Daphnia pulex: one gene and its partners. Each later gene encodes a partner of the first gene's protein in a complex. Links are inferred from orthologs where the notes say so. Each region holds a gene or a part of one and is shown in the gene's direction. Other genes may lie near its edges. The genes, in order: eukaryotic translation initiation factor 3 subunit I-like, eukaryotic translation initiation factor 3 subunit K-like and eukaryotic translation initiation factor 3 subunit M-like.

What was found.
Region 2: eukaryotic translation initiation factor 3 subunit I-like (region 1) and eukaryotic translation initiation factor 3 subunit K-like share a complex: the UniProt entries of both Caenorhabditis elegans proteins name them as parts of the eukaryotic translation initiation factor 3 (eIF-3) complex. The link is inferred for Daphnia pulex from reciprocal best matches to the Caenorhabditis elegans genes eif-3.I and eif-3.K.
Region 3: eukaryotic translation initiation factor 3 subunit I-like (region 1) and eukaryotic translation initiation factor 3 subunit M-like share a complex: the UniProt entries of both Caenorhabditis elegans proteins name them as parts of the eukaryotic translation initiation factor 3 (eIF-3) complex. The link is inferred for Daphnia pulex from reciprocal best matches to the Caenorhabditis elegans genes eif-3.I and cif-1.

Annotation. Positions count from the first base shown.
Region 1 is NC_060019.1:6,193,164-6,196,213, reverse strand, and holds eukaryotic translation initiation factor 3 subunit I-like, read left to right. Parts: upstream 1-890; 5' UTR 891-1,037; coding exon 1,038-1,040; intron 1,041-1,106; coding exon 1,107-1,353; intron 1,354-1,419; coding exon 1,420-1,702; intron 1,703-1,768; coding exon 1,769-1,970; intron 1,971-2,035; coding exon 2,036-2,284; 3' UTR 2,285-2,422; downstream 2,423-3,050. Other genes in the region: regulator of telomere elongation helicase 1 homolog, read right to left, coding at 1-72, 157-447, 514-615. UniProt on the Caenorhabditis elegans protein: Component of the eukaryotic translation initiation factor 3 (eIF-3) complex, which is involved in protein synthesis of a specialized repertoire of mRNAs and, together with other initiation factors, stimulates binding of mRNA and methionyl-tRNAi to the 40S ribosome.
Region 2 is NC_060028.1:2,216,535-2,219,588, reverse strand, and holds eukaryotic translation initiation factor 3 subunit K-like, read left to right. Parts: upstream 1-1,400; 5' UTR 1,401-1,509; coding exon 1,510-1,562; intron 1,563-1,652; coding exon 1,653-1,872; intron 1,873-1,933; coding exon 1,934-2,153; intron 2,154-2,229; coding exon 2,230-2,387; 3' UTR 2,388-2,509; downstream 2,510-3,054. Other genes in the region: uncharacterized protein LOC124209413, read left to right, coding at 1-752; acylphosphatase-2-like, read right to left, coding at 2,732-2,846. UniProt on the Caenorhabditis elegans protein: Component of the eukaryotic translation initiation factor 3 (eIF-3) complex, which is involved in protein synthesis of a specialized repertoire of mRNAs and, together with other initiation factors, stimulates binding of mRNA and methionyl-tRNAi to the 40S ribosome.
Region 3 is NC_060019.1:9,159,496-9,162,865, reverse strand, and holds eukaryotic translation initiation factor 3 subunit M-like, read left to right. Parts: upstream 1-853; 5' UTR 854-992; coding exon 993-1,034; intron 1,035-1,270; coding exon 1,271-1,378; intron 1,379-1,437; coding exon 1,438-1,592; intron 1,593-1,654; coding exon 1,655-1,873; intron 1,874-1,934; coding exon 1,935-2,092; intron 2,093-2,147; coding exon 2,148-2,255; intron 2,256-2,314; coding exon 2,315-2,667; 3' UTR 2,668-2,769; downstream 2,770-3,370. Other genes in the region: cysteine--tRNA ligase, cytoplasmic-like, read right to left, coding at 1-281; DPH3 homolog, read left to right, coding at 3,022-3,129, 3,198-3,272. UniProt on the Caenorhabditis elegans protein: Component of the eukaryotic translation initiation factor 3 (eIF-3) complex, which is involved in protein synthesis of a specialized repertoire of mRNAs and, together with other initiation factors, stimulates binding of mRNA and methionyl-tRNAi to the 40S ribosome.

The DNA of each region.
Region 1 (3,050 bases):
TACAGCATTGTTTGTTTCCTTTGACACTTCTGGATGAATGCACAGTTGGTCACGAGATCCAAGGATGCATACCTTAAATGAAGAAAAATAAAATAAGGGTTATCAAAACCCATTTCATGTAGGCAAATAGCTTTAATGGAAGAAGGAAATGCTCACCTTCATATATCTGTAAGAGGACCGTTTTAATTCAGAAATGACCTGGCTGAGCTGAGAATGAGTTCTGGATGCATAAATGATTTTGGGTACTCCAGCTCCAGGAGTAGCAGCATCTCCCCATCCAAGCCCAGTTGCATTACTTAATTGATTTTTAATATCCACTCCCATATCTCCAGCTAATTGACCAGACTGTATTTGTGCTTTTCGTGTTGCTAACCAACCCAATGTCGAACAAAGTAAGCACAAAGTTTTTCCTGTGCCAGTAGGAGATTCCAACAAACCATTTACACCCTATTTAATCAAGAATAACAAAATAAGAGCAAGGTGTCCACTGACCGATAACGCAACACTAGTTACTTTTTGAAGACATTCTATCACACGCTCCATGAATTTCTCTTGTACATCATAAGGCTGGAATGGAAATTCAATGGGAACATTATTTAAAACCAAATTCACCATTCTAGATAAATAATTTTGGTAATTGTGTTCCACGAGACACACGCAATGTGAAGGAACACGCAATGTGAGGGAACCCGCCAAAATAGTTGAATGAGAATAGCAGACGATGTTAAAACTGCTTTAACTTCCCTAGCGAGTAGCGCCCTCTGAAACAAATCGAAAAGTAAAATTATTTTTGCTAGTGTCATTTTAACGTTACGCGTGATTAAAGAATAAAAATTAATTTTTTTTTTTTTTGTATAAAGTTTAACAGTTTTGATAAGATTAAAGATGGTTCGTTTTTTGGTGGGTGGGTGGCAACACTGTAAAATCGAGCAGGGCCGGCAGACGAGTGTTGTAAAAACGTCGAAAGGCCTCAGTCGCCCCACGCCGAAAGAAGTGTACGTCATTATTACAGTTGTGACCAATTAATATAAACAAAAATGGTAATTTTCAGTGCATTTCTGTTATTTAATTTCATTATATTAATCCACTGTTATTGTTGATCACAGAAACCTCTTATGCTTCACGGTCACGAGCGTTCAATCACGCAAATTAAGTACAACCGGGATGGAGATTTGCTCTTCTCGTCAGCCAAGGACAACCACCCTTGTGTCTGGTATTCAGTCAATGGAGAACGATTGGGTACCTACGAGGGACATCAGGGTGTCGTATGGGCGATTGATGTTGATTGGGAAACTAAACGTTTCATGTCTGGTGCTGGTGATAATATGCTCATGATCTGGGATGTCCAAACTGGTATGTTCAGTGAGAAATGACCCCATTGCGTAATTACGACTTAAACTTTTCTTTGTTTTTTTTTAGGCAAGGCTTTGGGTAAAATTGAAGCCAAGACTTCAGTTCGTACATGCAACTTCAGTTACAGTGGAAACATGGCCCTTTACTCAACAGACAGTACTATGGGTAACCCTTCAGAGATCTTCATCATTGATGTCAGAACGGTTGACTCTTCCTTCAGTGAAAATGACCCCATCCTGCGAATTCCATTAACTAATGCCCCTAAAGCCACATCAATGGTTTGGGGTAATCTAGATGAGGTTGTTATTTCTGGTCACGACAATGGTGACTTGGCCCAATGGGACCTCAGGTGAGAATGACATTGTCGTAACCTTGAGTGCTTAAAACTAAATCCTGTTTATTATTTATACTACAGAACTGGCAAGAAGAACAACCTGGTTTCAGAACACGCCAAGTCTATCAACGACATGCAGCTGTCCAAAGACGGAGCTCTCCTCATCACTGCATCCAAGGATTGCACTGCAAAACTCTTTAACGCCGAAACGTTAGAGTGCCTAAAAACTTACAAAACTGAGCGACCCGTCAACAGTGCCGCCATCTCACCCATCATGGATCACGTATGATCCTTGAGCTTCTAAATGATTCAGTTGATCGATTCTAACTGTTTTCCTTCAATCTTCAGGTGGTGTTGGGAGGTGGTCAAGATGCCATGGACGTAACGACGACCTCAACGCGTGTCGGCAAGTTCGACGCCCGTTTCTTCCATCTGGTTTTCGAAGAAGAATTCGCTCGTGTCAAGGGCCATTTCGGTCCTATCAATTCTCTGGCCTTCCATCCCGACGGAAAGACGTACGCCAGTGGTGGTGAAGATGGTTACGTTCGTTTGAATCAATTCGACCAGTCTTACTTTGACTTTAAATTCGATTACTAAACCAGAAGAAAAGCGAAAAACCTACGAAGAACCCAATCCATCATCTATGAACACTTGTCTTGTGTTTATTTTTTGACCACTTTCGTGTACATGGGCGATATAAGAGAAGGTATTTGAATACATCATGTTGGAAAGGTCTCGAGTGAGAATCTTTTTTGGGGGGAAAATTTATTTCTCAAGAGAGGGCACGAGACGAAATTAAGCGTATACAAACAGGTTCGAGTCGCCTGTTTAAGAGGAGAAAACATAACTGATATTGTTTACAAACAATTCTTTTGAAATCTTTTTCTTCTGACGAAGTCCATTACAGGGTTTACGATATTCTAATCACCTACTGTTGCGCATCCCAAGAAAACTTGGCATTTTGCGAAGAGAAAGAGCTCATCAGTTTCCTTCTGGTAGAAGTTTTAATGGGAGACATTCTTGTCCCAGCTGAACGCATTGGAACTTATTACGACTCTAGCGTCTTGCCAACATGGTCGGGACTATCTCGAGCGACAAGGAATCATTGAGAAGCTCGCCGGTAATTTGGACGAGGCTCCTGCAGATCCTCTTGCCTCGCCTGCTCGTTCCCGGGCTTATGAAATTTATCGGTTCGCTGGCTCATTTTCAACCGGATGTATTAGCCAGATATCCGAACTTTACAAATACGATGTTCAACTTGATCGACGACTCCGACGTTTCAATGAGGATGATTGCTATTGAAACTACTTCCTTTATTGCAACTGAACGCGATGGCAAGTTCGCTCGGAATCAACCGGAATCA
Region 2 (3,054 bases), on another chromosome or scaffold:
CTTACATTACAAAAGTGGACATGACATTGATGTGTGATGGAATCGTAAAAGACGCGGATCTCGTTAGTTTACTTTCCCTTAAAAGCCTCTACATCCTTGAAATCGATCAAAGAAAGCCTTTAAACTTTAATGAAGTTACTTTTAGATATTCTGGAGGTATCACTTTTGAAGGAGGAGTTCTTCCCCTTCTCAAAAAATTTGGGAATTCCTTGACAAAATTAGAACTTGACGTTTTCTTCCTTGACTTAGACATTTTAACCATAATGCAATTTTGCCACAAGCTTCAATACCTTTGCCTTCATATGCGCAGCAAATTTGATCGTTGGCCTAAAGAAGAAGAACAAAAATCGGGAAATAAAAGGGAAATTCCTATCTTAAAACATCTGGAAGAATTGATGTTATGTTCTGATGATTCGCTTCATTCCTTTGTCCCCGCAGAAATTGTGTTAATCTTATTGTCTTCTCCGTTACTATCATTCATTTCCATAAAACTTTTGAATAACCTAACTGACAAAATCATACGAAAAGCAACGCATGTCAATTCCTTTCGTCATCTTGAGAGATTGTGGTTAACTCACTGTAACGAAGTAACTAAATACGGTGTGAACCTTTTTTTACAACAGAATATCCCTCTAAAGAAACTGATTTTGGAACGTTGCGATAAGATAACGTTTGAAGATTCCATCGAATGGGAAGAAACTTTGACCAAGAACAATTGGGAACTTGAATTAGAAATACGTCACCCTTACTAATTATTAGTTAAAAAAATAAAAAGGTACAATGTAATACATTTTTTATGATAAAACCACTCAATTACCGCCGGTAATTAGCCTAATATCGGTAATTTACCGGTACTGTTTTTTTTTAATTATTCTTGAGTAACAACACGAGGAAATCTCATATGTTCTCTCTCGGTATCTTATAAAGGTGGCATTTTGATGTTTGCTCGGAATTCCTCGGGGAAATAGGGTTCATAGAGCATGTTTGAGCAACCATTATTAAAATTAGTTACTGATGGCAGCAAGTAACAGTTATTAGTTTTTATTTTTTGTCGTCTTTTTTAATCATTTGAATTTTGACCATCGCCTAATCTGCTAAGTGCTAAGTGTACCGTGAAAATATCTTCTGTCAAAGATTTTTCAAAGATTTAAATGTCAGCTACATCTTCAACTTTTAAAATTGGCGGAAATTCGAATCACTTTCATTGGTTGAAAGAAGCTCCACAGCTCCACCCGCTCCACCTACCAAGGAGCGGAGTTATTTTCCGACTGAGGGGTTTATGAGGGTTTTCGCCCTAAATTATAGCTCAAAAAAAAATCGTTCTATTTGTTTCATTCTCGACTTTTATCGCAGAGTGAAAATGGAAAGTTTCCACTCCTTCACTTAGCTGATAATGCTTTAAATGGCAACAGAGCCTCTTAGGCCGAAAGCGTCTGCTAAAGCCACATTTCCGTCATCCGTCAAAGTCTAGTTACTGATTGTTAACAATTTCAATAACAGTTCATTATAATGGCCGAAAAGATGAAAACAGAAATCGCTTCTATGCTACAAGGAATTGAAAGGTAAGAGAAAATAATCTGAAAAAGTTAACCCCATCTGCATAGTTGAGGAACACTGTAATGAACAATGGCGGTTTGTTCTCTTATTTCTAGGTACAATCCCGACAATCTTCAGAAGCTAGAACGCTATGTTGAACTGCAAGCACAAGAAAATATGTATGACCTAGAGGCCAACCTAAGTGTGTTGCGATTGTACCAATTTGGCCCAAATTTCTACCGCAGTAACATTGTTAATCTGATCCTACTGAAGGCAATGACCAATTTACCTCACACAGACTTCTTGCTGTGCAAATGCCTTTTGACTCAAGATAGGGTATGTAATATGATTGTTTAATCTAATATATTTAATAGGAATTAATTTTTTTACTTTTCAGTTGGAAGAACCTCAAGTGAGCAGAGTAATGGTCCTAGCTGATTTGCTGGAAACGTGCAAATTCAAGCAGTTTTGGGAGGAATTGGCCAAATGTGGTGACCTAATTATTACTGTTCAAGGATTTGAAGATGCTATTAGGAAGTTTGTTGCTCATGTTGTCAACATTACCTATCAAACTATTGAAGTTCCGGTATTAAAAGAACTTCTTGGCAATGTCAACGGTAATGGCAATATTATCCATGTATTCCCTCTTAACATGGTTTTCGACATTTTAATTTTAAAAACCTCTCTTTTCAGATCAAGTTTTGAAACAATGGGTCGGGAAGTGCAGCTGGAAGGACCTGGGCAACGGCCGTGTGTTCATCACGTCGCAAGAAGATTTGGTCAAGACCAAAAACATCACTGAGAAGATCGAATTTGAAAACGTGGCTGGAATCATGTCACACTGCATTTAAAAGTGAAACTGTCTTTGACCGATCTGCAAACAGGAAGAAAGAAAAACCAACAAACAAACAATTCCAAGGGCAGTGTATTTCTGTTTTGTAACAGCTTCATATACACAATTGTCATGTTTGAATTTGATGATCGTTAAACCACCCAAGCAGTGAATCCCATCGCCGTATTTACACCCGGAATCTGTTTTCCTCTCAAGCAGCATCTAATTAAAAGTTCTGAAATTCGATTCTGCTTTGGCCGATATGGTGTGGGCATGTGCCTCTACATTGACAAGTGAATTGGTGGATGTTTTAAATGATTAGCGGGACATTGAAAAAACAAAGAAAAACCATTTTCATTCGCTTCAAAAACGGATGCTGAATCCGCGGAACTCGGGCCGTGCAAGGTATTCCCAATTGCGAAGCTCGGTGTGGTCGATCTTGCATCCGGGGCTACCTGTCCTCGTCAGCCATTGTGCCCTGTGGAGGAAAAAGGTTTGGAACAACAATTTTAATTATTTCTAGTAGTAGAACTCGTTAAACACACAGACGAATCCGCTTTGGCACCGAGCGCATGACGGGTCAGGAAGATTCTAAAAGTAGCTTGTTTCTCCTCGCTCTACAGAGGACGAGCCCAGCATAGTTAAGGTATTTAACGACGTGTCCTGCCCAAACCATGACTCGTGTG
Region 3 (3,370 bases), about 3.0 Mb from region 1:
TAATTTTGCCTTGCTCTTTTAATAATTTTGTCGTCAATATCAGTGATATTCATTACATAAGTAATGTCATATCCAAAGTAGTCTCTTAAGACCCTTCTCAGGATATCAAAAGACATGTATGAACGGGCATGTCCCATGTGGGATGCATCATAGACTGTTGGTCCGCAAGAATACCAGGTGATATTTTTCCCATTCTGAGGAGTAAACACCTCCTTCTTACGAGTCAGACTATTGTAAATCTTCAGCTCCATGCTGCTGTTGTTTAAGGGGGCTTCAGACATAATAGGTGAACAAGGTACAACCAATTTCTCAATGTGTTCCAAAAATTATTATTTATCCCTTCGAAACTTCTCACTCTGTAAGTAAAATCTAGTCATTAATATTTTGAAATGTCTGATGCAATAGTTAAAATGTCTTACTTACTTCTATCTTCTACCTAAATTGCCAACCACTCCAACTATTATATATTTTTGCGATTTGCACGTTAACAGATTTGTGAATGTCACCAGTTAACTTTAACGTTATAAGGAAGTTAACAATTAATAAATTTGAAAAATAAATGCTGGTTCGAATGATAACGATCAAATGAATCCGAAACCGGTGCGTACCTTTGACGGTGTATTCGGTTTGTTTCTTCCAACACCGCAACACGTCAAGTTAGATAGAAATTGCGAGTGAGCCGATAACAGCGATAACAAATGTGGTGATCTTTTATGCTGCAATTTTAAAAGGTAGTAATTTTTTTAATAATAATTTTAAAAAATCAAGAACTGGTTTTAGAAAATTTTGGAAAGCGTGAAAGTGTTGAAACAAAGAATTAAAAAAAAAAAAAAATCGTTGATTTATCTGTAGGGGAACACGGTGGCAATGTCGCCATTACAGACGAACTTCTGTACCGGGATCGTGAGCGTGGCCTATATCCGGATTTTTTTGACAAGCAACTTCTAATAAAGGAATCTTTTTTTCCAGTTTGTTTTGAACAATTTATCAGGATGAGTTTACCAGCATTTATCGATTTAACGGTCGAAGAACAGGTTAGTTTCCCCATAAATTTAGTCCGGTAGATGCTAAACTGTTGTGGCGATGAAGTGTGGAGTCTGCCAGTAGCGTACACCTTTCTGTGTTATAGACAATTTTCCCTACTAGTATTTCTAATTTTTATACCTGTTTTACCACCTGGAGAAAGCAAATAACTGTTATATAGTACTGAGACAAAATTTAAGACATCAAGGCTTTGAATTGGTCATTGTATTCATATCTGTCTTTTTAGGCTACTGAATTGTGTAGCTATTTCAAGGCTCTTGGAGCATCAAATGTGGATGATGATCAAAACTCAGATCTTAGCAACATTGTTGCTGTTGCAGATCTCTGTTTCAAAGTAAGTGACAATTTTATTTCAATTAGTAGTGTGTGTTTACACTATTTTCTTCTTTGAAGGAGGGCAATGAAGTGGAATCTGAGGGAGTCTTGAATAGCATTGTATCTATGCTCGTTCTTCTCCCCAATGAAAAAGCTGAACCAATAATTACTACGTTTTGCCAAAAGCTTGCAAAACCCCCCTCAAACAAGTTGGGACTTGTTTGTCTGAGAGTGTGAGCATTTGAAATTTGAAGTTTACATAATGAATTGTCTAACTATAATTTTGATTCTTTAGTCTGTCTGTACTATTTCATGGGCTTGATCCTGTGAGTACAACGCGTTACACGGTCTATCACACGCTAGTCCAAGTTGCTGGACAAGTGGAACAGATGAAGACAGTGTTCACGGATCTAGATAAAATGCGTACTCAACTAGGGCCATGCAAACCTAACAACGAGCAGATGCAAAAACTCCTCCGAAGTTTACATGAAGCTCTCCTCAACTCCAGAGAAAGGTAAAGTATTGAAGTTAAACAAATAATTGTAACAATAAATCAAACCAGTGTTATTATTCAGTGAACTGGCCTCCAAAGTGATGGTGGAGTTGTTGAGCACTTACACGACCGAAAATGCTTCACAGGCTCGTGAGGAAGCTCAACGCTGCATTGTTGCTTCATTGGCTGATCCCAACACTTTCCTTCTCGATCATTTATTGACTTTGCAACCTGTGAAAGGTTTATAAAAATTACTTTGAAGTTAAATCAGTTATTAATTAATTTTTGTGTACAGTTTTGGAAGGTGCCCTTTTGCACGATCTGTTGACCGTATTCGTGACGGAAAAGCTGTCAGCTTATTTGAAGTTTTATGAGGAAAAGAAAGATTTTGTTGAAGGACTAGGTATTTACTGGAAATTTTTAAGTATTTTTTTAAGAATTTTAAGTAACAATGATTTTTAGGTCTGAAACATGAGCAGAACCTTCGAAAAATGCGAATTTTGACTTTCATGCAGTTGGCTGAAAATTCCGTAGAGCTCCCTTTCGAAACGCTCGAGAAGCAATTACAACTAACCGAAGATCAAGTAGAGGAATTTGTCCTTCAAGTCCTTAAGACGAAATTGGTGCGCGCACGAATGGATCAGTTGAACAAGAAAGTGCTTGTTTCATCAACCATGCATCGGACATTCGGCAAGCAGCACTGGCAGCAGTTGCGTGAGTTGCTGACTACTTGGCGAGGCCACCTCAGACAGGTCAAAGATTCCATGCTAACCATCGTTAACGAGCAAGCCGAACTTCTCGCTCAGCAATCCTGAACCGATTAGAGAAGAAACAAAAGACTTCAAATTATCCCGCTATCCATCTCTATTAAGGTTTTGTGGAAATAAACGATGACGCCGGCACATTATCTGACAAAATCAGACTTTGATCATTATTTCTGTTTTGTTTCCAACATACTGTTGTTTGAAAGTAGGGTAGGAGATAAAAAAAAAATTCTTTTTTTATTATGCTTATTATATGCAACGTGTAAACGTGAGTTAATTCAGGTAGTCTGATTTTTGGCCGGCAGATGTCTCTTTTTCTCACGTGTTGTCTTTTGAAGATCCACACATTTTTGTTTCAGTAGTTGAGAAAAATCTTTTATTTATTACTCAGAATTTTTGGTGAAAATGTCTGTCTATCACGATGAAGTTGAAATCGAAGATTTTGAATATGATTCGGACAGTGAAATTTACTTCTATCCTTGCCCTTGTGGAGATCGGTTTGAAATCACCAAAGTAATGTGACGTCCCCATTCCTTACTCAGATTCCAAGCTTATTAAAAGGTTTACTTTTATTTCAACAGGAACAGCTAGAAAATGGGGAAGAGGAAGCCACATGTCCGAGTTGTTCACTTATAGTAAAAGTAATATACAACAAGGTATGTATATGAGCAAGTGGAAGTTCTGGAAGCAACTGGCTTTCAGCCTGTATAGCATTACACAATATGTCTAATATTTAGTTTTAAAATTTACTTAC